Linked DNA regions of Rattus norvegicus. The protein of the gene in region 1 interacts with the protein of each later gene in a biochemical or structural test. Links are inferred from orthologs where the notes say so. Each region holds a gene or a part of one and is shown on either strand. Other genes may lie near its edges.

Evidence for each region.
Region 2: the proteins of Rab1a (region 1) and Chml form a complex in vitro, tested with the Homo sapiens proteins (2 studies listed by BioGRID). The link is inferred for Rattus norvegicus from reciprocal best matches to the Homo sapiens genes RAB1A and CHML.

Annotation. Positions count from the first base shown.
Region 1 is NC_086032.1:98,617,900-98,633,720, forward strand, and holds the start of Rab1a (ras-related protein Rab-1A), read left to right. Parts: upstream 1-5,777; 5' UTR 5,778-5,954; coding exon 5,955-5,977; intron 5,978-15,821. UniProt on the Homo sapiens protein: The small GTPases Rab are key regulators of intracellular membrane trafficking, from the formation of transport vesicles to their fusion with membranes.
Region 2 is NC_086031.1:90,142,024-90,157,844, forward strand, and holds the start of Chml (rab proteins geranylgeranyltransferase component A 2), read right to left. Parts: upstream 10,075-15,821; 5' UTR 9,969-10,074; coding exon of another isoform or gene 9,602-9,968; intron 6,007-9,601; 5' UTR 5,684-6,006; coding exon 3,818-5,683; 3' UTR 1-3,817. Other genes in the region: Opn3 (opsin-3), read right to left, coding at 9,602-9,968; Wdr64 (WD repeat-containing protein 64), read left to right, coding at 15,044-15,188. UniProt on the Homo sapiens protein: Substrate-binding subunit (component A) of the Rab geranylgeranyltransferase (GGTase) complex. Binds unprenylated Rab proteins and presents the substrate peptide to the catalytic component B.

The DNA.
Region 1 (15,821 bases):
CTTTTGGGGTGGGGGGCTGACCTCGTTCATACCAGAGACCTATCTGAAAATACTGAAACTTTTCTTCTATGTTTTCACCCACCTCTCACCATTTCCTAGATGCCTGATTCATAACTGACAATGTATATTACAAGGATTTTTCTCCTGTCGGGAAACTAGGCAATGTCCACCCCGAGCCCTCGCTAAGGTTCCAATGACAAGGAGTTTGATCCTATTTATTGGACTTACAAACTGATCGTGGATGGGTAGTTACCAAGCTGCACTGGAAGTTTCTACCCAGTGGAGATAATGGCTCCCCACTAGCCACACGGATGGAGGCCCCTACCTTAGAATTCCCCAGCACATACACTTTAGGCCCTCACCAGGCAACATGTAATTAGGGTAAAATTACATACAAGTAGGTGGAGAGTGCCTGGATACGGGACACTAGGCTAGAGTTCCACGACCCTCCCCACTCCCTCCATCTGTGAAGGGATGTCCAGTTGTGATTGAAGATCTTGTGCAAGCAGGCACAGCTGAAGCATGGAGATGGCTGCTGGTGTGCTCTGAGGTTAGTACTATACAAGAGCATACGATTTATACATAAGTAAATTACGATTTTAACGTTTTAACCAAATCTCGTTTAGTTACTGCAGTGGTGGTGGTGTGTGGTCTATATGTACATATCACAGCACACCTGTCAGGGGTCAACTCTGAGGGGCCAAATCTTGCTTTCCACCTTTAGATGGTTTGGGGAACAAACTCAGGTTGTCAGGCCTTCACGGCAAGTGCCATTACCCGTGAGCCATCTTGCTGATCCTAATTCATAGTTTTTGGATGTATAGGACCGTGAGTTCTTTTGGTGATGTTGGGACTCAAAGCCAAGTGACCTGGGTTTTGACAAGTATGTACGGTTATATACCTAGCCGTCATTACAATGAAGATACAGGCTATTTCCCTCAAACCAAAGACATGCATCCTTTGCGTCTCTTTTCAGACGATCCCTTCCTCCCACTCCTCATGCCTAGCAGTCTCTAAAGGCCATATCCTTTACGTGTATTTTTGTACTTTTCCCCAGAGGCCTTGTCTGTATTCTCAGAATTTTCTAACTGAATGGTAATCTCCTTAAAGACAAAGAGTTGTAGTCATTCAATTTTATATTGTTTAAGCATATATTTCAAGTACAGCTGGGTGGGCATGGTAGGGCATGCTAGAAATCACAGAACACGGAGCTCAGGGGAGTTCGAAGCTATCCTCGACTACACAGTGAATTTGAGGCCAGCCTGAGTTCCATGAGAACCTATCTCAAAATAGCAAAGCACACCTACCCTTCCTTCTCTCCCCAAACCCAGATCAAGGTCTACATACATTTATTATGTACCGGGTCATATACACCTGAAAAAGAGTGGAAACAAGAGAGAAAAGGGAGAGAGGAAAGGGGGGACAGCCAGAAGGGCTGGAGAGGATCAGCAGGTGAAGGTGCTTGCTGCCAGGACTGGTGTTCCGAGCTAAATCTCAGAAGCCGTCTGTTGAGACAGTGAAGCCCTGAGACTTGGTCTCGGCCCTTCTCACATGTGTGCCCTGACAGGTACCTCCGTACACCCACACATTTCTGTCCTCGTGTGTGCCCTGACATGTACACCCCCCACCCCTGTATACCCACACAGGTAAATAAATAAATGATAAATAAATGTGAATGAGGAGGAGGAGGCGGCTCTGGAGAGATAGCTCAGGGGTTAACAGTAATCGCTGCTCTTGCAGATGATGAGAATTCTATCCAAGGACCCTCTGTAACTTTAGCTCCAGGGGATGCAATGCTGTCTTCTGGTCTCCCCTGGGTGCCAGCACACATGTGTGAATACCTACACACAGACACATACACACATATATAAATATAAATCTTTTTTCCTTTTTCCCTTTTAAAGGCAGAGCTACCTAGGAGGGCCTTTCTGCTGTCTCTGTCATGCTGAGACTCAAAGCCAAGCTTCACTCGTGTTGTGTCTGTGCTCAGCTGCAGATCAGACCTCCACCCTCCAGAAAGGCTCTCCCTCAACCTCAGGGCAGTCAGAAGAGCGTGTAGTGTTTCAGTGAATCATTCTGAGATTGTAGGCAAATTCTGTCTTTGAGTGAGTTTCACATGAGCTTAGGTTAGAACTCACTGTGTGGCTCAGACTCTCCTCAGATTCCCACCCATGCACCTGTCTCAGCCTTTCCAGTGCTAGGGTTGCAAACGAGAGCCACCAGTGTTTGGATTGCTTTGAGTTTTTTTTTTTTTTTTTTTTTTTTTTTTTTGGTTCTTTTTTTCCCGGAGCTGGGGACCGAACCCAGGGCCTTGCCCTTCCTAGGCAAGCGCTCTACCACTGAGCTAAATCCCCAACCCCTGCTTTGAGTTTTTAATCTGAACTATTGGCCAAAGGGTAAACATGAAATATAATAAGTTCGCACCAGCAAAATTCGTTACCTACCGGTAACGTTTGGGGGTTGGGGAGATGGCTTGGTGGGTAAAGTGTTGCATATGCACTTTACCGGAGGACCCTTCGTCCCATGTGAAAGCCGGTGATACACATCTTATGCACTTGTGCTGGAGCATAGATGGAAGGATCCAGGAGCTCAATGGCCAACTGGAGATCGAGCTCCAGGTTCAGTGAGAGACCTGGTCTCAGAAAGCAAGGTGGAGAGTGGCAGAGGAAGGAAGGCATGTGCGGTTGACCTTTAGCCTTTATACAGGGACACATGGTCACACGTAATGCTGGCAGACACATATATATGCCTACATAAGAAATGGGGGGAGGAGAGGGAGAGAGGGAGGAAGAAAGAGATTATTTTAAGATACATCTAAGAGTTGGGAGTAGTGGCACAGGAACTTGATCCCAACACTTGGAAGGCAGAAACAGCTGGAGCTCTGTGAGTTCAAGGCCAGTGTGGTCAGGGAGCAGGACAGCCAGAGCCACACAGTGAGATCCTGTCTGGGAAGGCAGGAAGTATACTATTATTATTGTTATTGTTATTGTTATTATTATTATTATTTCTTTTTTTGAATGTTTTACCTGTATGAATGTATGTATGTATGTACACCACCTAGAGGCCAGGAAAAGTGCTTTACTATAAAACTAGTGTTATAGATGGTTGTGAGCCACCATGTGGTTGCTGGGATTTGAACTCAGGACCTCCGGAAGAGGAGTCAGTGCTCTTGACCACTGAGCCATCTCTCCAGCCCAAGGAACCTTAATATCAATAACACCTATGTTGCAGTAGGATATAGGAAGCTGGCACTCACTAATCCACAGCCATGATGGCTTGGGGGGTTACTAGAAGATGATTTGTTGGGAAGTTAAATAGTTAATGAAAGAAAGTTGAGCAAATTTACCTCTGAGGAGGCAGACAGATAAAAAAAATGGAGTTTTGGTGGTAGCCTCTCTGTATGGTGGTAGTGCACTCTGTAGTGCTTTCTTTCTGAGAGTCTGCTTTCCTTAACCTTCATGCTTAAGCCTATATTAAAGATTTATTTATTTCATGTATGTGGGTACACTGTCGCTGACTTCAGAAGAGGGCATCAGATCCCATTACAGATGGTTGTGAGCCACCATGTGGTTGCTGGGATTTGAACTCAGGACCTCTGGAAGAGCAGTCAGTGCTCTTAACCACTGAGCCATCTCTCCAGCCCTTAAGCCTATATTAAAATACCGCCACTAAAACCCCAGCTTGGGTTGGAGAGATGGCTCATCTGGTGAGGACATTTTTTGTTCTTGTTGAGGACCCATGCTCAGTTCCCAGCATCTATCACACTGTAACTCAAGATTCAGAGTATCAAATGCCCTATTCTGGCTTTTGAGGCCAAGAGGCACATGCATGGAACACATACATACATACATACATACATACATACATACATACATGCAGGCAGGCAAGACATTCATATACATAAAATTAAAATTAAATGATAGATTTGGGGGTGGGTATTGAGACAGAAGTTCACTGTGTAGCTCTGTCCTAGAACTTACTATGTAGAACAGGCTGGCCTCAAACTCACAGAGAAGCACCTGTCTCTGCCTCCCAAGGGCAGGAATGAAAGGCATTGCTTCACTCTGTCTGGCTTAAATGATAAATCACAGAAAAAAAAAAACAACAATAACAACAAGATCTTTGCTTGAAAAATTGAGTTTGGGGACACTTCGGAGTTTTTATTCTGTGAAATGATAGGAGGACATATCTAAACATGTGTGGTGCTTCATTCATCCGTCTAGGGTTATTTCAGAAGTTAACACAGAAAAGAGCCATATAGGATGGGCATGATGGCCCCAGCACTCAGGAGGCAGAGGCTAGTGAACCTCTGAGTTTGAGGCTGGCCTGGTCTATAGAGGGAGTTCCAGGACAGCCAGGGCTACACAGAGAAACCCTGTCTCAAAATACCAAAAACCACAACGATAACAAAAAAAACCAAAACCCCCAAAACCTATCTATGTATGGTCTGATGAGGCTGTCAAGTCACATGGAGGAAGTCCAGAGGGATGTGTAAAATATACTGAGTATATGGTTAGAGATGAGAACAGCCTCTTTTGCTTATTTTTGTGTCACTGAAATTCAGAAATTAAAAGTAAATCCGCAGTTGGAGATAATATTCTTGCTTAGAACAAGTTGGAAGATAAACTTTGGACAGTGTATTATATTATGCCCTTTGGAATAAATAACCCAAGATAATGTGTTAAAGTTTAGTGGAGATTTAAATTCCTGAGCTGATTAAAGTTAAGGTCTGAAAAATGTATTAATATTAGTTCTGGAGTCCAGAATGAGTTTCCTGGCTTAAAAAGACACTTATTATTACCCAATGTTACAGACGGACACAGAATTTAACTAATAAAAAACAAACAGCAGCAGCACCAACAGCAAAACAAACAAACAACCCCCAAAACTTAACAAACCAACCCAACCCCAAAAACCAATTCAACTTTAAGGCCTCAAGTAGAAAGACTAGGTTAAGGTTCATTTTAGCCTGAGTCTCAAAAGCACAATGCAGAGCCTTCAAAGGTTGGGAGGTCTAGATGGAGGAGCAGTTTCAGACAGGTAAATCTGATTGCGTGTGCAAATGGACGGGGGCAGAAGAGAGACTGGAGCAGGGTCCATTTGCAGCTATTTCAACATCAAGTTGCTAGAGTAAAACGGTAAAAACAAAAAAAAAAAATCAGAAAAGGAGTCGGGTGAGTGTGAAAGCCCAAGGCTACACAGGCCACCTGACTTTCCTTTTGTCCTTAGAGCAGCCCCAGACTCTGATGGGGTTGGCCACTGCGTTCTTGCCAGAGCAGAACTCGTCAAGTTGTCCCCACCCCGCCTCATTCGCGTCCCAGCGTTCCTGGGAGCCCCCTCCCCCTCGGCTGCGGCACCTCCCTCCGCCCGGTTCCTTCCTCCTCCCCCTCCCCGTGGGGCACTGACTCGCCCTGCTGCCACGTCTCACTGATGACATCAACACAGTCCGCTCGACCTTAGCCAATCCGCTAGGGGGAGTCCGAGCGAAGTCCTAGCCAGCAGGCCAGCGGGGAGGGGAGCAGGAAGGGCGGGGTGTGGGGGTGAGGGAATCGGGACGGGGCGGGCGACAAGCTCGCAAGGGCGCATGCGTAGAGGACGTGGGGCCTAGTGGGAAGCCGAGTGCAGGCTGCCCTCGGCCTCGTCAGGCTGCCCAGCGCGCGGAGTGCTCACGACTCTCTTTCCCAGCGTGCCCCGCGACGCTGCCGCCCTCTGGGCCGCGACAGGCCCCTTGGCCTAGGCTTCCCCAGTTCCTGGTTCGCCGGCGGCCATTTTGGGTGGAAGCGATCACTGAGTGGCGGCGGCTGCTGATTGTGTTCTAAGGGTCGGAGTGGGGTCGACGTTTGCTCTACCGGAACAGCTTAGCTCATTCCTCCCCTTCCTTTACCCGTGGCGCGGAGGCTTGGGGCGGCGGCTGCGTCAGCAAGGGCGGTGGCGGCGGCGGCAGCTGCAGTGACATGTCCAGCATGAATCCCGAATAGTGAGTGCAGGAGAGCCGGGGCGGGCCGGGGTGAGGGCGTCCAGCTGGGGTGAGGGCCGCCTGGAGGCTCGCTGCGCAGCACTCGGAAGGTCGACCAGGCGAACGAGACGGAGCAGCCCGAGGGCCCCATTGTCTGATGGCCGAGGGCCGCAGCGGGGAGGGGTCGGGCCTCCGGGCCGGGTCCGGGGCGCAGCCGGCGGGGAGCTAGGTGCCGCGGCCGGGCGTTGGGGAGTGGGCCTCGGACAGCGGCCAGGAAGGGCGCGTCCCTGGAGGCAGTGACGGCTGGAGGAGGACTTGTTTTTAAGGGGAGGTAGGTGGGAGAGTTCTGCTAGAGGGCACTGTCAGACCCTGCGCCGGCTCTGCGGAGCTGTCAGCGTCGACAGGGAGGAAACCAGCTTTACTTGTAAATCCTGAGCTTGTTAGAGCTCTCTCACGGTTGGATTTCTGGTAATATGGATGCTTCTTGGGACTGCGTGGGCTTGAGGGGAATGAGGAGATGGCGAGAAGCTATTTACAATGTTTAGTTTCCTTTAGGGCTTGTCTCCTGGAAGAGTTGTGTAAGAATTGTGAGATGTGACCCTTCTAAAATCCTGAACATTTGTGAAATTTTTGTTTTAGGGGGACACATGAGTCTCTCAGTCACCTTTTGTTTCCGGTAGGTTAACAACATCAACAAAACTGAACTAAAAATAAACTAGAAACGTCTTCCTGGCACCACCAAATTAAAGTACAAGTTTGCAGACAATTTTGAAAAGAAACTAATGGGGCCTTTGATGATAGAACTGTAGGTTTTAGATTACCTGGTTGAATGCCTGTAGATAGGGAATGAGGTTCCATGACGTGTCATGAAAAGTTAATGCATTCCTTTTTCTTGCTTACTCAAGAAGTCACTCTAGCAGATGTGACACACCTGGCACCTTCATGGGAACTGCTCTTGTCTTTTCTTGGATAGATATTGTTGGGCTCTCTCTTTGACCCTAAAATTCTCCTCTGGCTTCCATATATGAAAATAACTCGAAGAGATGTCATTTTTATTATACTTTAGTGTCAGAAATCTTTAAGGGAGAGGGATTTTTTTGTTTGTTTGTTTTGTTTTTTTTTTTTAATAAGAGAAATCAATACTGCCCTAAAACCTGGGCTTATTTGTTGCTTTGGTCAGTCCCCGCTAAGTGTGTCCCCAGGAAAGGTCCATCCATCAGCTCAGCTGACTTGTCATGTGTGTGTCACATGGCTCTTGCAAAAGACATTCTAAGTTCAAGTTTTCTAAGGCTGGTTTAATACTGAAATGTGCTTTTTCATTTGGGTTAAGCAGAAGTCTTGGTATCTTGGTAGAACTTTACATACTTTATTTTTATTGTGACACATGTGATTGCAGGTGCACAGGTGCCACTTTGTTTGCGGCAGAGGTCGGGACAGATTTTGGGAGCTTGTTCTTTCTCCCTTTGTGGGTGGCTTCAGGGAACTGAACTCAGATAAGCACTTTATCCACAGAGCTCTGTGGTTGACCCAGGCTTTTGTATTTCTTTAAGAAGTTGGGAACAGTTCATATGGTGACACACTTACTGTGGTGGCAGCCCCTCTCCCAGCACAAAATCAGTTTAGGGAATGAGGTTCCATGACATGTCATGAAAAGTTATTGGGATTCCTAGTTAGATTTTAGGGAAACAGAGAAGAACATGGATTTGTTAGGAAGGTTTCTAATTTCTATTTGAGAAGATTCCTATATTTGTTACATATGTATTTAAATATTTTTATTCTTCTCAAATTTCCTAATGCTATGACCCTTCAATACAATTCATGTTGGGGTGACCCCTACCCATGGCATTTTCATGTCTATTTCATAACGGTAATATTGCTATCGTTATGAATCATAATGTAAATATCTGATAACGCAGGATATCTGGTATGTGACTCCTGTGAAAGGGTCCTTTGACCCCCATCAAAGGAGTTGCCACTCACAGGTTGAGGACTGCTGGGTTAGAGACATCCCCTGGCACTGGAGTTAGAGTACTTGTGACCAGCTGATGTGGGTGCTGGGAATGGAGTTAGAGTTTTCTCCAAGAAGAGAAATATTCTTCACTACTAAGCGATCTCTCCAGCCCTTGTTATATGTATCTTTTAAAAAGATTTATTTATTTATTTTATGTACCGCATTCTTATATTTTTAAATACTGTAAGAGATTTAACTATAAATGACCAAAGTTAGATGTTACTTAGACTATTTCTCTTTTTATAAAGTAGTACAAGAGACAGTCATTTTTACTACCTATTAAGGTAGTAGTGTGTCCATGAGTATGTAAAAAGGACAGCTATCCAGATCATGTTGTAAACAGTATAAATCATTTTAAAGCAAGCTAGGACTTAGGAGTGTAAACCTTAACCTCAAGGGGCCTGTAACATAACATAACATACAAAATAGGTTCTATACATGTCAGATACTAGGAGATAGAGCATGCAGATGTGCAGCATGGGTCAGGACAGTGTGACTTTAGGGCAGAGTCACTTGTTCTGGTTGGCTGTTGGGTTTTGGAAGACTGTTCTAGAAGAGACATGTAAGGTAGTTCAGCAGAGGAAGCCATCTGCCACCTTTATGAGTTCCATCCTTGGGACCTATATGGTGGAAGGAGAGAACTGGCACCTGCAGGTTGTTCTTTTCATGTGTGTCCCTCCCCCAATAATCTAAACAAATAATTTTAGAGAGCAAAACGTGCTCTCTAAAAAAGGAGAGTTATTAGCACAGAAGTGAGGCAGGGGAGATTTTTCTGGAGGAAATGGAAGAGGAATGGCTAATAAATAGCAAGGCTAATAACTCTTTTTGTGTTTTGTGATGTCGTCCTGGCTCTCCTGAAACACCCTTTGTAAATGAGGCTGACTTTGTATTTGCAGCAGTCTTCCTGTTTCTGCCTCCCAAGTGCTGACATTACAGATAGGAGTCACCGTGCCCTGAATGGACAGTGCTTTAGTCATTCTTCCTGAGTTCTCAAGCATGCCAGTATCTGGCTTATATTTGCATTCTAGACTGTGTAGTAAATTGACCAGGAGTTTGAGGAAAGGATTTATGAAACTTGCTCAAGATTAGAGGTGATGATAGATATTTTATTACTATTTTAAGTGCAAGCATATATTAACTAAGAGTAATGTCTGAGGCACTTGCATTTAACTGACAGTGTGATGTGAACTGTGTGGTAAAGTATATGGAAAGGGCCAAAACTTTTTTTTTTTTTTTCTGGAGATCTGGAAGACAGCTTTGACATTTTACACTTATTGTATGTTTGGAGAGGGGGCACGTGACTGCTACAGTGAATGGGTGGAGGTCAGAGGGCAGCTTGCAGGATCAGTTCTCTCTGGCTACTATGCAGGTTCTGGGGTGGTAACTGTCTTTAGTCATGGCTATAGGCACTGAGATATGCTGCTGGCCCAAGATTTGATTTTCAGAGCTAGGGAGTGAAGCAGGCAGTGATTATTCCAACACACTGATTGAAGATGCTAAACAGAGCCAGGAGTGGAGGAGCCTGTGCTCTGAGCACTTGAGGCAGGGCAGGAGGCTCACTGAAGGTTCAAGACCACCCCAGTCTATATTAGAGAATTCTAGACTGTCAACGGTGACATAGGGATTTTGTCTCAAAAGAGAGATAGACAGATATAAATACAGACTTGATACTAATTAACCTCATACAAGAAGTAGTTGTCATAATCTATTAGCTTCTAGGGAAGTTTTATTTATTTTTTATCATGAGACAAATTATCAAGGATCCCAACCTGGCCTCAAGCTCACTTTATACCTGAGGATGACCTTCAGCTTCTGATCTTCTGTCTCTGCCTGCTGAGTGCTGAGATTTGAATCTATAGCTTTGCGTGTTAAAGCTATCCAGCATCCTACAGCTGAGCTCTAACACAGACCTTAAGCTTTGTGTGTGCATGTGTGTTCTCATGTATGTATGAGTGTTGTATGTATGAGCATGTATGAGTGTTGGGTGTATGTGTACGAATGCCTGCATGCATTTGGTGGTCAAAGGCCAACCTTGGGTTTCATTCCTTAGGAGCTTTCCATTTAATTTTTACCTTTTATTATTTTCATTTTGTGTTTTTGAGTGTTTCCCCCTTATTGTGTACATGCAGTGTCCAAGAGGTCAGAAGAGGCAGTCATCTGAATTACAGATTGTTTGGGCTTGCATGTGGTTGCTGGGAACCACACTAGGATCTTCTGGAAGGACAACCAGTGTTCTTAACCAGTGAGCCACTTGTCCAGCCCCTGTTTATTTATTTTCTTGAGACAAGGTTTCTCACTGGGATATGGGGTTCACAGAAATGGCTAGGTTGGCCAGCCAGCTAGCGTCAGGGATCTTCCTTTGTCTACTTCCCTGGTGCTGAGATGATAACAGGTATGGGACACCACACCAGTTTTGTTTTGTTTTGTTTTTTAAATGAAGTGGATGCTTTCTAACTCTGGTCCCCATGCTTGTCAGACACACAAGCATCTCCTAAGCCACCAAAGTTTAAAGAATTTTTAATAGAGCCAGGTGGTGGCGCAAGACTTTAATCCCAGTGCTTGAAAAATTTATATTTATTACTCTGTGTGTGTGTGTGTGTGTGTAAGACAGTCTGTGAGAGTAAGTTCATGTGGGCCCTAAGGATTGAGCTGAAGTCTCATGATTGTTTATTAGTTAAGGTGACAAAGTAGCACGGCACGGTGGCTCATCATATGATTCCAGTACTTGGGAGGTTGAAGCAGGAGGATTGCCTGAGGTTTGAGGCCAGGCTGGCCTACATAGTGAATTTTTTTTTTTTTTTTTTTTTTGGTTCTTTTTTTTTCGGAGCTGGGGACCGAACCCAGGGCCTTGCGCTTCCTAGGTAAGCGCTCTACCACTGAGCTAAATCCCCAGCCCCCATAGTGAATTTAAAAAGCTAAACCAAACCAAACCTCACTGTGTAGATGGGAATGACTGAATACCCATTTCCCAGATGCTCTGATTAAAAGTGAGCAACCTTCTCTGGGGTTGGGCAGAGCAGTTTAATGACAGTGATCTTTTCTTCCTATTCCTCCTTCACTTTAAAATGAGACTCCAGATTTCCTGAAAATGTTAGCAGTCTTTTACACTTTTATGCTTTTCTGAAATAGAGCTGTTTCAATTAAGTGCCTTTCCCTTTTAAGTGTTTGATAATAAAATTGGACTAATCAGTTATCTGTCTGACAGTGTATTAATATCATTCCTGGCTTTCATGTAGTTTTCACTGCTTTTTACTGTTTTGTTTGTGAGTGTGTATGTGGCTGGTAGTCAAATCCAGTACTTGCACATGCCAGGCAGATGGCCCCTGTCATTCTCTCCTCCTCCTTGTAGAACAATTGGAAGAAAGGTGATTTGGGTCCTTACTGTGAGGAATGTGATTTTAGTGTCCGAAGCATCATGTCTGTGGTTGTCAGGTAGACAGGCAGCTTTTGGAACCTTTACTAAATGTTCAGGCTGCAAATCTCAGTACCCAGGAGAGTCAGGAGTTTAAAGCCAGTCTTGATTCCAGGGCAGCTTGGCCTACAGATTTGTCTCAGAGAAAAGTCGGAAAGGACAGAAAACCAAAACCTGAGTGCCATTATGTGAGCTATTTTAGATGTGACTTACTTTTTATTACCCTGTCTGAATTTCACATTGGAGTGTCTTAGTAAGAGACATTGGTAAATTGCTCCCTCTGCCTTTTAAAGAGAAAGGAGTGGTCTGCCTGTTGTTTTCCTGTAGAAGTTGGGGCTGAAATTGCTGCTTTGGTACTATAATATGATTAATTTTTTTTAAAAATTGATATTTATGTTTATGGGTGTTTTTCCTTCTTATTTGTCTGCACCTAATGGATGCCTGGTGTCAGAAGAGCTAGAAAAGGGACTTGAATTCCCTGGAATTGGAATTATGGGAATTGAACCTGGATCCTCTGGAACATTCTGCATCTAGTGCTCTTAAATGCTGGGCTATCTCTTCAGCACCCCTAGAATATAATTTAAAGGAAAAAACCCTGCTTTTTGTTGCCAACATTGATTGAATTTATGGTCTCCAAATGCATCCCCCCAACCCTAAAATTTTTAAATTTAAGCCAGATAACATTTAGATAAACATCTACTTTAAAATTCATGGAAAATTTTTTATCACACACACACACACACACACACACACTTTTAAAAAGCCTTATTTTTATTTCATGTGTATTGGTACATGCATGTCTGTAGGAAGGTGTCATCTGCCGAAGCTGGAGTTAGAGGTGGTGGTGACTTCCTGTGGGTGCTGTGACTTGAACTGAGCCCTCTGTGAGAGTGCAGGCAGTGAGGCATGCCCAGCCCGACACACGTGCTTTCAGACTGGGGGCTTTACTAGACCGTTTTCCATGCTAGGCATATACTCTGCCACTGAACTTTTCTCTTTTGTATTTCAACACTTGGTCAAAAGGGGAGTTCAGGTTGGCCTTGAACTCGCTCTGTAGCTGGGTAGGCCTTGAACTTGTGATACTCCTGTTTTAGCTTTCCAGTTAACTTGAGATTAAATGCCTGCCACCAGACTCCAACAGAGAGATTTAAAAACAGAGAGAGGCTGTTTTGAGTAGGGACTAATGACATGTTCCTGTACTCCTAGAGTAGGCAGGGGAACCTTGGGAGTCTTAGGTACACAGTTCTGACAAGAGGGTTTGTGAAGTTTACATGGTGGTCCATGCCTGTAATTGTAGGCTACTGAGAAGGCTAAGGTAGAATTGTAAATTCCAGTTCTAAACTTAAAATGCAGAGATGGCCGCAGTCATGGAATACGACATCTATAGTTGGGTCTAGGTGGCCTTTGATCTCTTAAATACTGTGTCTGTCTTGCTTTTCTCTTTCTTGTCTATTGCATGTTTTTTATTGGGACCTTAGAAGTTGTGAAGTCTTTCTGAGAGTGAAAAGCCATGGAAGCCATTAGCATTTTTGAACTCCTGGAGCAGCTATGAGTACTTATGTAAGACCTTCCCAAGATTGAACCATTGGCTTCCTGTCATGGATCAGCAAGGGCTTCTCCCTCCCAACACAGCCTTCCCTGAGAGTCTTCCGGAGCTGTTTGCTGGGGGAAGGAGATTCATTTTCCTCAGTGGTGTAGCCACTGACGAGGTGCCTGTGCTCCTGTAAACAACACTAATGAAGTTCATTGCCACCCCCACCTCCAATGGAAGTAGAGGGAGTATTAGTTGAAGAGGATCAGTGACCCTTAGAAGTAGGACAAGAGAGGGAGGGCCATGTGAGTATGACCAAGATAGATATGCAATGCCATACTAAAATGCATAATGTATAATTAACAGATGCTAATTAGTATTTTTGAAAAAGTCAATCTCAGTTCCAAAGACTTAGTGTCAAAATTGTTCACCGGTTCATGTAAAGAAAAGGGCTGGTTTGGCTAGATTGGCTGGCAAGAAGCCACAGCGATCCTTCAGTCTCCCCAGTGTTGGGATTACAAGTGTGCTGTGCTGTGCTGTGCTGCGCTGCGCTGTTTGTTTTCCCTTTTTTTTTTTTTTTTTTTTGTTACTTTATGTAGCCCTTACCATTCTGAAGCTTGCTTTGTAGATCACCAGGCTGACCTCAAATTCAAAGCCTCCCAAGTGCTGGGATTAAAGGCGTGAGCCTCTACTGCCCGGCTGTTTTTTATTTTTATTTTTTAATTGAGGTTTTTAAATTTCTGACTCATCACTGTTTCCATGAATGTTCTTTTTCTGGCCTAGGGTTTGATCCAGATTACTCTGGATTGCTCTCTTTATATTAGTTACCTTTGTTCTCCGATGTCCCTCCTTTTTCATTGATTGTCTCGGCACTTGTAGGGCTTTTGTCTTTTTGAGACAGGATCTTGCTTATGTAGCTAGCCGTTGTTGGCCTGAAGCAGACTGAAGACTTGTAGGAGAGCATTCTTTTGCTGTCTCCAGAGTACTAAGGTTATAGGCATGTGCTACTCTGCTTGGCTTAATGATGTTGACATTCATTAATTCTTTGTTTCTCTTCCTTCCTTCCTTCCTTCCTTTCTTTCTTCCTTTCTTTTTTTTTTTTTTTTTTTTGGAGACAGGGCTTCTCTGCATAGCTCTGGTTGTCCTGGAGTTCATTCTGTAGACCAGGCTGGCCTTGAACTCACAGAGATGCTCCTGCCTTTGCTTTCTGAACCACTATTGCTGAGACAGGTTCCTTTTTACAGTTTATTTTTTATTTTTCTGTTCTTTATGTGGATGGGTGTGTTACCTGTATACACATCTGTATTGTGTGTGGCTGGTGCCCAGGGAGGCCAGGAAAGTTAGATCCCCTGGAAGTAGTTATTGGTGGTTGTGAGTTGCAATGTAGGTACTGGGAATTGAACTCAGGTCCTCTGGTACAGCCGCCAGTGCTCTTAAGCACTAAGCCATCTCTCCAGCCCCATAAGTTTATCTTTTTAGTTTATCTGTGTATATGTATATCTGTATAGGACTGTTTGAATGATAATGGAAGGTGCTTGTGGAAGACTGAGGCATGGGATCCCCCCGGAGCTGGAGTTACAGATGGTTATGAGCCAAATTCAAATCCTCTGATAGAGCAGTATGTTCTATTAATGCCTGAACCATTTCTCTAGCCCCAAGATAGCTTTCTTCTCCGGGCTGGCCTTAACCTCACAATTTAGCTGAGTGAGCCCTTGAGTTTATGGGCCGCCTTTATCTTCTACAGGCTAGGATTACAGTATGGGAATGGGTCTTCAGGCTGGGTTTATGTTGTCCTGGTGGTTAAACCCAGGGCTTCATGCATGCTAAGCAGGCATTCTTCCTACTGAGCTGTCCTCAGCCCTGAGTCTGGATATCTTTGAAGTGTGCCTAGACTGCCTCTCACTTTACATTTGCGTGTTGCTTTAGTTTTCTTTTTCAAGGATTCATTTGCATTTATTTTATGTGTTTGGTTTTCACCTTCATATATGTATATGCACCACAAGTGTTCCTGATGTCAGCACAGTCCAGAAGAGAGTGTCGAATTCCCTAGAAGTGGAGTTAGAGATTCTCATGAGCTGCCATACAGGTTCTGGGAACAGAGCCTTAGTCTTCTGCAGCAGTCACTGCTGGGCCACCTTCCAGCCACACCCACTCCCCCTTTCTGACGTAGGGTCTTACTGTGTAGTCCTTTCTGACCTGGAGCTGACTAGGTTGCCTTTATTTTATATTGATCCTTGTCTCTGCCTCTCAAGTGTAATGAGTTCATCTGGTTAATTTATAACTGGTTAAGGTGATAGATTTTGGGAAAATGCTACAGAAATCAGTGCTTTTTCTATTCATTGCACTGTATCAGAAATCTTATGACAACCAGTATGGGATTTGACTTTTCATTCTGGTGATGCTATTACTGGAACATTGTTGTAATATCTGTACAGCATTGTAAATGACTTAAGTTTGGAGAACCGCTAGTGCCCTTGAACACTAGTGTCCTTCAAAAGTGTCTTCCCCCTTTGTCTGTTTTATTAGATACTGACCAGATTTGCTCCGTCTCCCAGGGAAGAAGGATTTAAAGCAGTTACTGGATAGAGTTGCTAAAATCAGCAATGCAATGCTAGGTGTGGTGCCAGGCTGTAAAACCAGCTCTTAGTCAGGGTGGGTGATCAAGAGGTTTTGGGCAGCCTTTGCTTCCTGTGGAGTCAGAAGCCAGCCTGGGCTCCATGAGACCCTGTTTCATAAGAAGTTTCTCCCAAACAACAAAGCCCGCCAGCGCAATCAACACTTGGGAGGATGTAATTTGAAGCCACACAAATACCTTATTTTTCTCTTAAGTTGTACCTACTAATTTAACTTCGCCTGCAGGTTTTCCTCTTGGTGATCTACTCGTTTTCTGTTTTCCTTCTGTATGTGCATG
Region 2 (15,821 bases), on another chromosome or scaffold:
TTACAGAAACAATGAGATCATCATATATTAACCTGCGGTTACATGCCTTCTGATTATTTCCAGTGTAGAGGTCTAAATTTTTACACAAACGTAACCAGCAGCCAATAATTTCTGGTGTAAACTGACATCTTTTTGGTCCTCAGACATGTTTACATACAATCTGACATATGCCACTTAACTCTATAAGCTCACAACAGCACTAGCAATATAGCAAACCTTATCCAATTCTTAGTCAGCAGGCTTTAAAAAAAACATATAAATGGAATTGCTAGGACATATGTTTAGAAGGAGCTTTATTTATTCACTTGTTCATTCTGAGTATTTTCCTGGGCATGTACTACTCAAAGTGATGTCAAAAATATCCATTATAGAGGTCAGGTTAATCTAAGTAGTTCTTCAAAATGACCATGAATACATGATGCTACTGTATGAAGACTCGTGCAGATTTAAAAATAGTAGGAACCCAGTCAACATTGCTTCAATCTCTATTTTAATGAGAATCAATTTGAGGATCAAAGAAATTCGTTTTACTCCTTTTTTTTCTCATTTTCAACCTATCACTTTATACTGTGCACAAGAAGAGTAGGAAGCCTGAAGAATGTGCACCTACTTAAAAAAATAATAATAAAAACAAGTCAGGCAGGGGGTTGGGGATTTAGCTCAGCGGTAGAGCGCTTGCCTAGCGAGCGCAAGGCCCTGGGTTCGGTCCCCAGCTCTGAAGAAAAAAAAAGAAAAGAAAAAAAAAAAAAAGAAAGAAAGAAAAACAAGTCAGGCGCATACAAGTCTTGAATCCCCCAGCACTTGGGAGGCGGAGGCAGGCAGCCTCTGAGTTTGAGGCCAGCCTGGTCTACAGAGCAAGTTCCAGGGCAGCCAGGGCTGCACAGAGAAACCCTGTCTCAAACAACTAAACTTAAATAAAAATAAAAAACACCCACATAATAGAGACAGCTTTTTTATTCCACTGTCAATGTTTACTGCCCGAACATGCCTGGGCACCATTACTGGGGTAAAAATCGTAGTCTTCTTACTTTATGCTTAACAGTTTCATTTACAAATAAACGGCATTACCTGATGAAAAGGAAGCCTAATACTTATCTCCATACTGATGTGGGCTTCCTCTGGGTAGTGTCTAAAAGCTTCCCTCCAGAGAGCTGACTATCTTAACCTTCTTGAACTCAGCACCACAGAGTGTTTAGATTGGTTGTTCAATATCATGCCTTAAGGACTTGAAGGGCAAAGCTCTGTATTTTCCCTCTCAAGTTGAAGGTGGCTTTCCCAGCTTATTTTCCTAGATAATTTATAACAATTCTCTCAAATTACATAGAGCATACGCTTGGCGTAACAAATGACATTATAATAAATACCATTTACATAAAATGTCACATGCTAGCATTACCTTAGATATGAGTTCTTATGCATTATCCAACTTGGTCTTCACAATAATTCTGTTAGGTAGTATTTCCACTTGATAGATGGTAAATGGAAGCTAAAAGTGATTGCCTAGAGATCAGACAACTAGTAGTGAATTGTGTAAGGTTTCCCTGTGTTTATAGCATTTCCTTTGAGCCAAAACAGCTCTCATTCCCATACTCATATTTTAAATTTAGCTCCTTCATTAAACCTTCTATTTTAGTGTGTTTCTTAAAGTATTCTAATATAGCTACATATATATATATATATATATATATATATATATATATATATATATACACACATATGTGCTTTTTAAAATTCCATCACTGTTGGAATCTCGAGTTTAAAAAAAGCTATGTATCTTGTTACTTGTGAAATATCTTTTGTGTGTAGTATATTTCTATGATGCTATACATTAAAAAGCCATGGAAATGTAATATATCAGCACTGGTTTCTTTGTGCATCTTTACTTTGCATTTTTATTCCAGTAACAATTCTTTCAGCCATATTCAGATAGAAATAGTAACAAGGCCTTGTTTCTGCTTGAGAAATGGTTCCTACATGCTTTCCAAATATAAATTTAAGTTTTACATTGTTGCTCGTCGTATTATGAACAGCCTACAAAACCATGAGCAAACATAACTAAAGCAAATGTGAGCAAGTTTCTGGTTAGTGCAGTTAGTAAGGGCTCTTACCACTTGTTCTGCTCCTCCAGATGCGTGGCTACTCTACTGGACACAAGCCCTCGGATCCTGAGTCACTGTAAGTATAGTTTCTGTTTGCTGTTAGCTCTTTGCCAACACTGAACTCTGCAGCTCCCGCCTACCCGGAAGGAGGGGCTTTGTTTGACTTTTAGAATGAAGCCCTCATTGAGTCAAAATAGAACTGATGAAAAGCAGCATTTATGATTTATTTCTTAAACATCTAAAAACTACAATTCTACATTCTAACTTGTTAGAAAATTAGACAATATCCACAATAGTTTTAAATACTTTTCACTTGTTTGTCTCACTTCCAACTTATTATTTTGTGATGACTTAAAGTAATATATTTGCTTCCTTAGTTAAAAACAAACAAACAAACAAACAAACAGTGCTTTGGCCAAGTCTAATCTTTAGTTCCATTTCCATTACATTCAGTTCTGTCTTTTGAAATGTCTGTCTACCCTTTGCAGTTATGCCTTCTAAATGTCTCTGGAGCAGACTGTGGTTCTGACAAACTTTATAAAGTGGGTCTGAATTACTCTCACTTCCAATCGGCCTCTCTCAGAATTGTTGTTAATTGCTGTTTTAGGACATTTTAGGCATTTCAGTTGTTCTGCTAGATTTAAACCTTAAGATCTACCCAATATTAATTAATTAATTAATTAATTAAAACCTTAAGATTTACCCAATATTATTGCTTTACTAAAAAACAAACACTGAGACCAATCAGCGGCTGTCTACTCTGAGCATGCTGTCAGTCATGTGAATCTTTTCTTGCTTTCCTCACTAAGGAGGAGTAAGAGTATACTCAGAGCACACTGTGGTCTATTAGCATGCTGTGCTCCTTCCCAGCTCACTGGAGCCCGGACTGGCCTAGGTTACGGTGATCCTCCTGTCTCAGCAGTCTGAATGACAGGATTACATGAGTGGGCCACCATGCCCAGATTGGGATGTATCTTAAATATGAGCTTCTTAGACTACTAAGCGGTACACTTCTTAGAAGGTAGAAGGCTAGGGAAGTCTTACTGCCTCCTGAGTTCCAATGGTCAAGCAGGTGAGTTCACATGTAAGTGTTAAACCCACGACACAGTGGCACGCACAGCTAAGCTTCTGACAGTTGTGTCTTACCACATGGCATCTGAATTAGCTGCTACTCCTACTACCATCTCCATGTGTTCCTGTAATCAAGAAACTCTCCCAGTCTATGACTTACGTGTCCCTCTACGTATCTGAGGTGGTAGCAACAGTAGTAGCTGCGGGAGTAGCTAAAATAGTCCTTGGACAGTAATTTAGTGTAAAAAAAAAAAAAGATAAAACCTAAACACAGGAGCAAGCGAGATATTACCTAAAGGTCAGCAGAGGTGCTAACGAGGGACCCAGAAGTAAAATAAAAGTGAACGGCCTTCAAAGATTCTGAATTGCTGTAGCCAATTCTGAAACAAAAGAGCCAATTCACCAACAACTCAGTTGTTGAAAGGTTAACAGTAACATGACAATCTCAGTTCTGAAGACACGTGAACAGTGCTTCTTACACAGTTGTGGCTCACTCTGGTGGTGGGTATCCTTCATGCGACAATGTTTTGAGGCATTGCCAGTGTTTTCTTTTGTTTTTGAAGGTGCTCTAGGTTTTAAAAGTTCTTGCTGTCCTTGGGGTATCTAGCTTAGTGGTAAGTGTATTGCTATCCAGGAGTGTCTGGTTGCTAACCCTCCGCTTCAAAGATAATGTCTTCAGGGTTTGGTGGAGGAGGGCAGAACTCTTCACTGGGAAAGATCTCCTGGAACAGTGTTTCCGCTTGCTTGACTGCATGCTCATTCCCCAGTCCACAGTCAGGACCAGAGCAGATGTATACATTGGAAGGTAAGCTACAGTATGAGCTTCGGCTCACCCCTGAGGAATCTCTCATATTAAAATAAAGGGCCCACAAAAGTCTTGGTTTTCTGAGTTCCTCTTTGTCTGCTTCTGCTTCTGCAAAAGGGATGAATAACTGCTTCACCACGGGTTCCAAGTCTTCTCGGGCTGTTTTTGAAGAGAAACAGGTCAAGTGGACCAGATAGCTGTCCTTCATGCATGTCATGGTTGAGGAACATAATTCCATGACCCGAACCGAAGCAGTTCCCGGCTCCAGAGGAGGCACTACCAAAATGGAAATCTGCTGGTCTGAATCAGTCTTCAGGATGGACTGATCTGTGATAAGCACTGCCCTTGAGATCTGCTTATACTGAATGTTTGAACACATTTCCTTAGAAAGGTAACTGTCCTCCACGATAAAATAGTTGGCACTTATTCTCTGCCCAAAGCCATCTATGATTCCTTTACATCTTCCAGAGTCTCTGTCAACTACAAGACATTGTACCTTATGGCGAAGGCAATAGACTCCACCAAAAACTGCGCACATCCTGCAGAAACACTGGGGAATTTCTCCTTGGCCGTATAAAGGGAATATAAAGGGAGTGTTGCCAAACCGTCCAAGACACCGAAGGAAGTTCTTTGTTGCTTGAAGGCCATCTAATGTAGTGCAGGATGAGTCTGACGACATTGCAATTGAGTGGAGTATGAAGTGTTGGAGGTTAGGCGTTAGCTTTTTAGTTTTTAAGTAGTCAGAAAATGAACATTGTTTGAAATCTTGGTATTCATCTGAATGTTGCTCGTAGTCTAAACAGAACGTGAGAAACTTCATTAGCATTCTCTTCTCAACCATAGTGAGCTCTTTACTGTTAAACACATCTGCTCTGGAGCAAGGCACCTGTTCTACCTTCCCTTCCCGAAATGCAAGGATCCTAGTAACATTCTTAAACTCTGCATAACGACTAACGTTTGATTTGATTAGAAGATCGATCAGTGAGCCTTGAGAATACAGCAGCTTTGATACCAAGTCAATGTTGAATGTCCGGCTCTCCTTGACCATCTGCGAGTAAGTAATCGTATTTCTCTTTGGTTGTCCTACGTTGTCTTCTGCAGCAAGTTTGTGTTCACCTTCTTCTCCATCTGAAACTGTGTGCATCCCGGTTTCATCTCCACAGAACTTTTCTTTCTCCAGTGAGTCCTGTGCATCAGCGGAGGAGAGTGAAACTGCTCCATCACTTCCCTCTGTACGTCTAGAAGGCGCCTCGTAGCTTGTACAGTCTTCTGAGTGCCTTTCTTTGGGCAAGCTTGCAGTATCCAGAGAGTCCGCCGGAGTAGCAGATGCCTCTGGGGAGGGACTTTTCTGCAGAGGGTCGGTCTCTTGCATGCTATCTTCCACATCTTGACTAGCATAACAGAAGACTTCCGTGTGCTGAATAGTTTCGTCCTTCTTGCAAAGAGCGATGGCTTCTTCGGTTTCATCGATCAGGTCTTGCCATGTGCCAGTCACGTCTCCCTCGCTGTCATGGTTCTGTTGATAGTCCTTCAGCCACGACAGCAAACCTGTAAAGCTGAAACTCGCCCAATTCCCTCCATAGTAACTCCTTGAGTCAACGTGCAGAACTCTCTGTCCACTTCTTGAACATGCAGCTGCCAGGATGGACTCAGGCAAACCAGTCCCTATTATAACCACATCAAACTCTGTGGGAAGTTTGTCCGCCATCCTAGGAGCTGAAGCTTCAGGCCACAGCTGATGAGAGAACACAGTACGGATCTAGGTTGAGGGCTCTTCTGAGGTATTGATGCTGTAATAAAATCTTTATTTGTGATATTCATTCAGAAACATCGAGTCTGTAAGTCCTAAGCTTTTAACTCTTATAATTTTTAAACATTAAAAAAAAAAGTCAGTAGCATGGAAAACACGATAAAGTGCATGTAATCATATCTGAGAATACTCATACGGATGTGTCCTTTTCATTTCTGCATTTCACCTTAGCGGGAAATGTTACCATGCATCACATATGCATTTGTGACTGGAACTCTTCTCTGAAAGAAGAAAATTCAAGAAAAGAACACAGTTGTAAATAATATAGAAGCAATTTCATGCAACAGCAATTCCAATCCACTGGAGTCTGACTTGTTAATGTGGATACAAACCTCTACCCAAAGCAATTCATTAAATGGTTTCCGACAGTTCTTCTAGCAAAAAGAAGGTATTTTATATACCCTCCCCTAAAGTCAGGCAATATTGTTATGAGGCATAGACACGATATCCAAATAAATTAAAAAATAGTGTTATACAATTATTGATTTTAATAAAATATTTGGACAATACCATGAGCTTACGCTAAAGGACTATGGTGGCTTTACTGTGCTAATGGAAACACACGATGTGCTATGATCATGTCAACATAATGGGGAAGATTACTGTGGCCAGGAAGGTCAGTAGGTAATCCCAGAAGAGCCTTAGAGAAGATTTATATATCCTTAACTACCCTACGGATCTTGCAGTAGACACTAAGATATTCAGACATTACATGATACACTAAGATATTCAGACATTACAAAAGAATTAATTCAATAACTGGCACTTTAAAATACCTAAGTATATAAAAGAGCAAGCCTAAGGGGAAACAGTTTTATAATGTTTTCAGTATCAAAGTATAAGTTAAAAAAGAAAGTTCTTGGTTACCTATTTAAAACACAGTAACATAAATAATATCTAAATAAGGAACTATTTGCATTTTGCCACACGATCTCTGCAACCACGAATATCTTTCTAAGCGTGTTATTTTCATTTCTAAAGAAATAATGAGAAAAGATTCTTCTGTTCCCTTCCATCGCACGGCTGGCTATAGTCCATGCAATGCTAGGTGTGGCTGGCGGCTGTTCCCTTTGGACATACTCACCTGGAATTCTGCAGGCTAGCACATTTATACACCCCACTGCCGGTCTTTGGATTGCTCATCATACACAGTAGCAATAATTGTTCTTTGGCCCCTCTACTGTACACTACCATTAAATCTGCTATCTAGATGCAGGTACAAGTAAGAGAATGGTTATTCTGGTAACTGTAAAATAAGCCATTCAATAGGGATTTAAATGAACTTTACTAGGTCACTGGCTGGCTGGATCAGTTTAACTGAAACCGTGACCCTAACAAGCCCAGCTGGTAGAAACCTCTGACCAAGATTATCAGGGATTCTACTTATTTTTAGCCTTCTTTGAGATGCTAAGACCAGAGCCCAGAATGAAGCAATTCCCTGGTCTCCTCCTGCACATATATACGAGAATATGTGAATTACTTACTCGTGCTTCTAGCAGACTATAAAGAGGGAGAGAAAACCTATGAGGCTGTCTAGAGTATAAGCATGTATATGCACTTCCTCCAGGCACAGAACAAGGCTGAAGGGTGGCAGTAAGAGGGGAGGGGGTTATAAGCACCAAGTGTAGGTACGTTCTAACCTACAGATGTCACTGTAGCCTTCAAAAATACAAAGCAAGTGGGAGAGAGGACTTTAACCGCAGAAAGCTCAATAGTAGATTACAACGGTAGGAGAACCAGCAGCCGGTAAGAGACTGGGAAGGCCTAGACAATGGGATAGCCATAGGCCTACCCTTGTGCCACCAGTCTCACCAAAGCCTGGAGCAAGCAGCTAGGAACGTCCAGCAGTTAAACATGTCCTCTCCTTCAGTACTCAGAATTGATTAGTCCTGGCTGAGGAGCAGAAAAGGGAAGAGTCTTCTCTACCTCCATCCTTTTCCCTACTCAAGAAGCATATTCTGGGAAAAGAAATCATTTGCTAATTATGCTGTTAAGATCTGCAGCAATCTCACTCTAGACTTGTCTCCAAGAAGTAACTTATTTCCAATCCTCTAATCCCACAAGACCTACATCGGGTTTTAGGATGGGAATAAAGGCCATGATTCAAAGTCCTAATAGATGCCCTGAATAAAGGAACTGTCCAGTAAAACACCCGGGGTGGATGTTTCTTGTAGTCTTTAAAGAAATCTCTTCTGATGCTGACAGACCCCAGCAGGAATTCAGAAGGGGAAGAAAGGACAGAGAGGATTCTGGAAGATAAGCTTGGCAGAGCAAGCCAGAGAGAGACAGGGTGCTGCAGACATAAGAAAAACTCAACCCAGTCTTGTTTTCTCAGCCCCAGATGGAGACACTGAACACCACAGCACAGAAAAGTACTTCACAGAAAAAAAGGACTTTAATGTCTTCAAACACCTGTCGCCCGCCCAAGGGGTTCTGCAAGCTAGGCTCCTGACACATCACCTTGTTTAAAGATTAATCTGCCTAAAAAACCCTCCCAACGAACATTTTTAGGTAACAGAATAATCACATAGACAACCTATGTACCACTCATATCCTCTTACGGACCTTTCTCAGGGTTCAATACTGTTATATAAAGGAAGTCCTTAGATGAATGTTTATTAGGGGGGAGAGAATAAGAAAGTATCAGAATTGTCAAGTAGTGGGGGAAAAAAAAAACCACCGTAACTCCTAAATTTTATTTTAAAACTTTAAAAAGGGAATCATGACAAATACTCTGAGATTTGGGTTTGTCATACATCTCCGGGATATGACATAGATGATTTTCTCTAAGACCTGCCAAGATCAAGGTAATAGTAAATTATCAATGTGTTTTAAGGTTTGTAAAAAGGGACTTTAAGCCTTAAGTAATATCCATTTCTATTGTAAGTCGTTGTACAAACAAAATCCTTAGGACAGATACACACAGACTCTCTCTCTTCTCTCTCCTCTCTCTCTCTCTCTCTCTCTCTCTCTCTCTCTCTCTCTCTCTCACACACACACACACACGTTTTTCTCAGGTTTAGAATCCTGGGTTAGTCAACCTTCAACCTGTCAATTCTCAATATAAATCTTCAAGAAATCAACAAGTTCTACTTTAATTAAACGTACTGGCTGCCCTGCTAATTATTTATTCGCAAGAGTGAGTTGGAATTCTTTGAGCCCTTTGTAACCTCTGGTGTGACAGAACCTATGTGGAGGGAATACAATTAAAAAAAAGTATAATACAGTCTCACTCCCTAGGAAGCATTCAACCGTTTAGAATTGCTAACGAGTGAAAGGGGGTAAAAATGCTGCGTTATTTAGGATTCTACGTGTCACTTTAAGAAACAAATACTTCATTTATTAATTAAATCTTTCCTTGTCCCCGCCTCCACTCTTCAAGAGTTGACTTTTTTCTTGCATCTCTGGACTCTACAGGCCCTGGTTTCTTTCCCCCACTGTGAGATGCCCTGTTGAGCTACAGTAGGAAGTAAAAACAGATGAGAGGACATAAGGTGATCGGCAGCAGGGAGACTTTGTTAAGTGCTGCAGAGGGATGGGGAGCCGAGGTTGATGACTGGCTGGGAGGAAGGCTGTGTAGACCCGAGGGAGGGGGCGGAAGAGAAAGAGAGTTGGGGAGGAAGACCTGGTGGAAGGGAGAATTCCTGGGAGAAGAGAGAAGAGGGTTACGGATGAAGGGAGGTTCTCGAGGAGGAGAGACAGGGAGTTGTGGGTGATGACTGGCTATCAGGGACGATCCCGGGAAGGACGGAAGCCCAGAGCTGAGGTACCCAGGGAAAGTTGAGAGGCGAGGAGAACCCGTCCCGGGCGACTCACCAAAGAGGCTGCCGCTAAACCCGTCCCACGCGCAGCCCACGGCGTCCCACACCCAGCCGTTCCGCAGGCACGACGCGAAGGTGAAGGTGACTCCGAACAGGGATACCAGCAGATCGCCCAGACTGAGGTTGACCAGGAAGAGGTGGGTGGGCGTGCGCAGTCGCGGGAACTTGGAGTAGAGAAGCAGCACCAGCAGGTTGCCGCCGACGCCCAGCAGCGCGAGGCAACCGAGCAGCAGCGCCAGGCGCTCGTACGCGGTGGGGCTGAAGAGAGGCGCGGGGCTCCGCGTGCCGGCCGGTGCTGCGCCCTCGGCGCCCGCCCCGTCCTCCCAGTAGCCCTGGCCGCCGCTACGGTTCCCCGAGTACATGGCCCGACGCCGACGCGCCGTGAGGGAGAGGGCTCCGTGCGCCCGGCTGCCCGCCACGCAGCGAACCGGGTGGAGCTCACGCTCAGGCTGCAGCTCAGGCCATTGTGCCTCGGAGCAGCGCCAGGCCCGCCCAGCCCGCGCGCACCCGAGACCCCGCCCTTCAGTGCTAGGACCCCGCCCACCGCACGAAGCTCCGCCCCCTAGCGTTCTTGAGATCCCGCCCTCCCGCGTGAGTCCCGCGCCCCACTAGCAAGCACTACACTGGACCTCCATCGACGCCACGCCCTTCAATCTTGCGGCCCCACCCAACAACAGCCGTTTGGCCCCGCCCCCTTAAGGCTCTTCCGCAGTCTCGCCTGCGGCTCCTCCCTCCCGGAATCTCCCGTTACTCCGCCCCCCGACTCACACTCTTGGCCCCGCCCTCGAGGGTACGGCCCCGCCCTCTGAGAACCTCTGACTCCGCCTCCTAGTTGGGGCCCGCCTCTTCCACCCCTTCCCACCTCCCAGGCGCATTCTGTAACCTGCAGAGGCAAGTTTTGGAGTCTAGTCAGCTCTTGTTCCTCTTCCTTAACCCTTAAGCCATAGTGGAAGCGGGAAGAGACCGTACAGGGGAAAAAAAAGAAAGTAAACTCCTTTACCGAGCTAAATAAGCCACAGCGGGTCCTCACTGCTCATTTCCCCTCAACCAGCTTGAAAGCATCTCATCCATTCACCTGTTAAGTCAATCATCCTAGCATACATTCATTCATAAATATTTATAAACGCCTGCGCTTAATTCAGTTGAGCATGCTGAATGAAATACTTTTTCCTGTGAAGCTATAACAACACCCACCCCCACCTCATACACCCAACAGAAAGAAAACAAAACAATGAAATGCCCGAGGCAGCGAAACGATCTTACAAACAGGGAAACTGAGGTCAAAACAAACAAACAAACAAAAGCAGCAGGCTGAGACTCAACTACTCTAGAGCTGGAAGATGATATGTCCCAGAGTTTGTGACAGTATGCTGAGGTGCCCCTCTCAGAGCCCCAGAAAAAGGAAGAAAATAGCATCAGAGTGACACCCAAGTCACCCTCCCATTGGATCCCAAGCCTTCTCAGTCTGCAGTAGGAGTATCCTGATACACAATCCTGTCCAAGAGCTTCCTTGGAGGTGATCTCTTGAGCAGTGCCCCCAAGGCTTCAGTCCAAATCTAGCCGGTATAGAGAGGATATATTTAGAACAGCACACATTTTCCACTGGACCTTTCCCCAGCAGCAATGCAAATATAGTACAAGTCAAATATAGATTGTGAGCACCACTTCTTTAGGCCTGCTTTCCCTGTCTCCACTGCAGTCCCCAACGACTACCCACAAGAGAAAAATGTCCCGAGCTCCACGCACCTGAAGCTGTCATAGGCGCTAATGACTGATTTGTGGAAACTGAATTGAGTGTTCGCCCCTCCCACTGTGTTAGATTCAGCGCATCTCCAAGTTCTTCAATAATCAGCTGAGATAGTTTGATACCCTGCTGCACTGAACATTCAACCAAGAGGCAATGTGTGCCGTCCTCGAAAATCTTTGTCTTATTTTTAAAACTTCTAACCTGAACTCAGCATCTACAAGAACTTTGAACTCACCTGCCCTGAAAAACGTTTCTAATTTTCTGTTTTAGACTTCTACGAGCATTTAGCAAGTTCTTTGTCTCACTGAGTTCTCAGTATAGTAGTGTTACTACAGTAAGATTGCAATGTTAGTGGAAGGAAGAAAGGAAGATAGAAAGGAAGGGAGGGAGGGAGGGAGGGAGGGAGGACGGAAGCAAGGAAAGACTTCTGATATTTTTTTCTAAAGTATTCATTCTTTGGCACAGTCTTTTTTTCCTCAAGCTCACTTTCTAGAGGTGTTGGGATAGAAGACAATAATAATCAAATTGGTTCATATAGAAGACGTCAGATGCCAAGTGCCATAAATAATTATAAGACAGAGAAAATAGCAGGAAGAGAAAATAAATGTGCTGTTATTCAGGTCTGCATTGAGCGCTCTAAACAAGACCTATGTGCCAGGGTGGGGCTCTACTTGCCCCTTCGGAGGGACACAAGGGAGCCAGTACAGCAGAATAACAGGAGATGAGGATAGAGAGGTAGGGGAGCAGTGGTGGCCTCTATCGTATCCACCTAAAAGGTCCAGAACATTGCCTACACAAGAGCACTGAATGGAAGGAGTTAAGAGCCTGGGAGGGAAAGAGTTAACATTTTGATAATTGATAACAGTTATTATAATGGTCCTGTGAATTGTTAAAGTCCTTTAGCAGAGTTGATAGAAATAAGCAAGATACCACATATTATGTTTTTCTTTGCTAATAAAAAATGTTCCTTATACATTTCAGAATTAGATATTTATGGGAGTGATTCCCCATGGGGTTGTGTGCTTCAGTACTTGGTCCCTGTCTGGTGGCACTGTTACAGGAGCTTGTGGAATCTTTGGACATGGCAGTATTCCCCAATAGATCATCTCCAAAGTGACCCAGACAAGCCAAGCAGTGGCTGGCCATTCAGGCCTGTGTAACATCAAGAATCCAAGCCCTGCTACAGGCATCGGGTGCTAACACACATTCTTCCCAGGAGATTTCTTCGCTGGCTTCTTCCTGGAGCTGGGTTTGGCCATGGTGACGTAAAGCAACCTGCTACCCTGCCTCGGTTAGTTGTTGTTTGGTTGGTTTTCTTTCTTCCTTCCTTTCTTTCTTTCTTTCTTTCTTTCTTTCTTTCTTTCTTTCTTTCTTTTTTTTTTTTTGTTGTTGTTGTTGTTGTTGTTGTTTTGCCAACCTGGCACAAGGTTTTTGGGGGAAACAAAGAACATCAGTTGAGAAAATGCTTCCACTAGACTGGCCTGTAGAAAAGCCGTGAGAGCAGGTTTTTGATTAATGGTGATGTGTGAGCGTCCAGTCCAGCTAGGTTGTAGAAGACAGCAGGCTTAGAAAAATACAACTAGTAAGCCAGTAAGCAGTGTTCCCCCCTGGATTCTCCTTCAGTTCCTGCCCGCAGATTCCTGCACTGAGTTCCTGTCCTGGCTTCCTTCACTGATGGACTGTGATGTGGAAGTGTAAGATAAACTAAACTCTTTCTTTCCCAAGTTGCTGTTGGTCACAGTGTTTTTCCACGACATCCTCCCGCCACGTAAGAGTGTATAGAAAGTTCCCGTAGGAGGAACGGGCCTTTGCCAGCTCCTGACTGCCGGGACCTTACACTGTTGCCAATCTTCAGAACTGTGAGAAATCAGTATCTGCTTGCAAATTACTCGGCGTGACATGTTTTATTGGAGCAACAGGAATGGACTAAGACCAATGCTGCAGAAGATACAACATCTAATACAGTAAGCAATAATTTCACACTATCTGCTCACTCCTGTATCACTACTACCTACATACCTGCTGGCATAAGGAGGTGTCTGATAAATGCCGAATGAATGGATGAGGATTGGAGGAAAGATAGTTCCCAGAAGCTGCCAAGTAGTATTTGGAAAGCTATAAAAGAGAAAAGAAAGAAAGAATAAATAGAGTGAAGAGATTCTCCATGTAGCATGTTTATAGAAATTTACTCCCCTAAAACCTCACGGTCAGAGATGAGTCAAAGGACGGACACCCGGTGCTCACCACAGACGTGCCCCCTAATGCCATTTGCTTCAATTCTGAACTCAGGATTGCTCAAGATGATTGAAAAGATACACTACCAAGGAAAAGGGACTCCATCTTTCTCACGTTTTCATAAATTGACTGTTAGTAGACAGACAGAATAGACTTTTCTAAAACACTGGGATGTAGGAGAGGGGTTGGGGGCTGGAGACATACCTCAGTTGATGAAGTGTTTGCTGCACGAATGTAAGGACCTGAATTGAGATCCCCAGCACCCATGTTAGACGATAGGCACTGGGGCTGGAGAGATGGCTCAGTGGTTAAGAGCATTGACTGCTCCTACGGAAGTCCTGAGTTCAATTCCCAGTACCCATGTTAGAAGATAGGCACTGTGGGCTAGACACCTGGAATACTGGAGCTGGAAATGTGGAGAGGGCTTGTTGGCCACCAAATATAGTCAATACAGCCTCAGGATTCAGAGAGATCTGACATCAAAAGTGAAGGTACGGAACGATTATGAAAATGTGCAATTTCATCCTCAGGCCTCCTTGTGCCTTGTGCACACATAGCAGCAAACTTTTACAGCAGCATGCACTAGAATGCACACACACACACACACACACACACACACACACACACACAACTTAAATCAGAAGTAAGCATTTGGACTCAGTGGTGCTAGATGCTAGCATTAATGGAAGAGACAAACAGAAAGGCCTCTTCTTCTTCAACTGGTTCCTCTTGAAAAGCTCTCCTCACAAGGACACCTTCCTTATCCTTGGCTCCTTTTCGTTTTTTTAGCTCAAGGTAAATGCATAAAGAGGAAAAAGAAACGTTTTTATTCCCCACAACTTCTAAAAATAGTTATTGGTGCCAAGGAAGACAGGTGATGAAATACACTTTCATCCTCACAGGTTCAAATTTCCCTATCCAGGAGAGCTATGGGAAAATGTGAACGTAACTCTCTGTAGTACCATGAAGAAGACAGGAGACTGGGAGGGAGAAGAGACATTCATTCCAAGGAAAGTAAAACCTAGTTTCCTTCCTTTATCCTTCCATTTTCTCAATGGATGCACACACACACACACACACACACACACACACACACACACACACACACCCTGCAGGAGGTGGATCCCAATCTGCTCAGGGACTTACACAGATACTGTGACCTAGTGAAGTCCACATGATGGCCAATGCTGACATTGTGAGGTCAGGACCCTTCACTATCACCCCTGCCTCTATGAAATGCAGCAGGCCTCAGCTTTCCTCCTGCTAACCCTCCTAGGAACAGCTCTTACTCCTTGTTCCTATCAGACGGGGATAAAAAAAAACCAGAGGAATGAGACCTAGGGCAAACGTTGAGATGGCAGAGACATGTTATAAGAACTAGAAGCTTTTCCGCATTAGCAAATTTGCAGTATTATTTCCTCCTCCGTGCAGAAATAAGAGACCCCTTATATCTGTATGGATGCCAGGGATGAGAAGCGGTTCAACCTTGCACTGCAGATCAACAACTTCAAAGCGTCCTTGGTTGACTTCAATAAACTGGTTGAACAGACCACAGCCCAGAAAAAGGAAGAAAGAGCAGGCCTGTTTATCCCCAAAGAAGGTAAGATGGGGAGTTGGGGATTTAGCTCAGTGGTAGAGCGCTTGCCTAGCAAGCGCAAGGCCCTGGGTTTGGTCCCCAGCTCCGAAAAAACAAACAAACAAACAAAAAGGTAAGATGAATGGTTACGGAGAAGTCCATCTGGATTTGTTGATTAGGTCATCGGAGAAAGGCAGTTTAGTTTAAAACCCAAGACACTGAGTTCCTCCTCTGTCCCTGACATACTTAGCTAGATGCAAGGAAGCCTTTTGTATTTATCTGTAATACAAAGAGTTGGATTAAATAGCATTAAGGGCTTCTACTGCAGACACTGTCAGCCACTGGCCCACCTGAGACTCAGTAGAGCATAGTGGCCACATGGGAGGCCCTCTGTGTCTCTGTGTTACCCGGCTCACTAGAACTGTAATAAAATGCAGTCCACTTTGCTTGTGAAGACAATGGGAAGTAGAGAGGAGTCACCTTCCCAAGCCAAGAGTCAGAGGATTTCAGATCTTTCTGGATATTCTCCAGATCTTGGCTGAGCTCTCCATAAAGTGCTCAACAAAGCTTTAATTTCCCTCCAGTCAGCTTGTTTTACCTCTTGCTACAATTGATTCTCCCAACTCTCACCATGGTTTTGAATCCTTGATGGGGCTT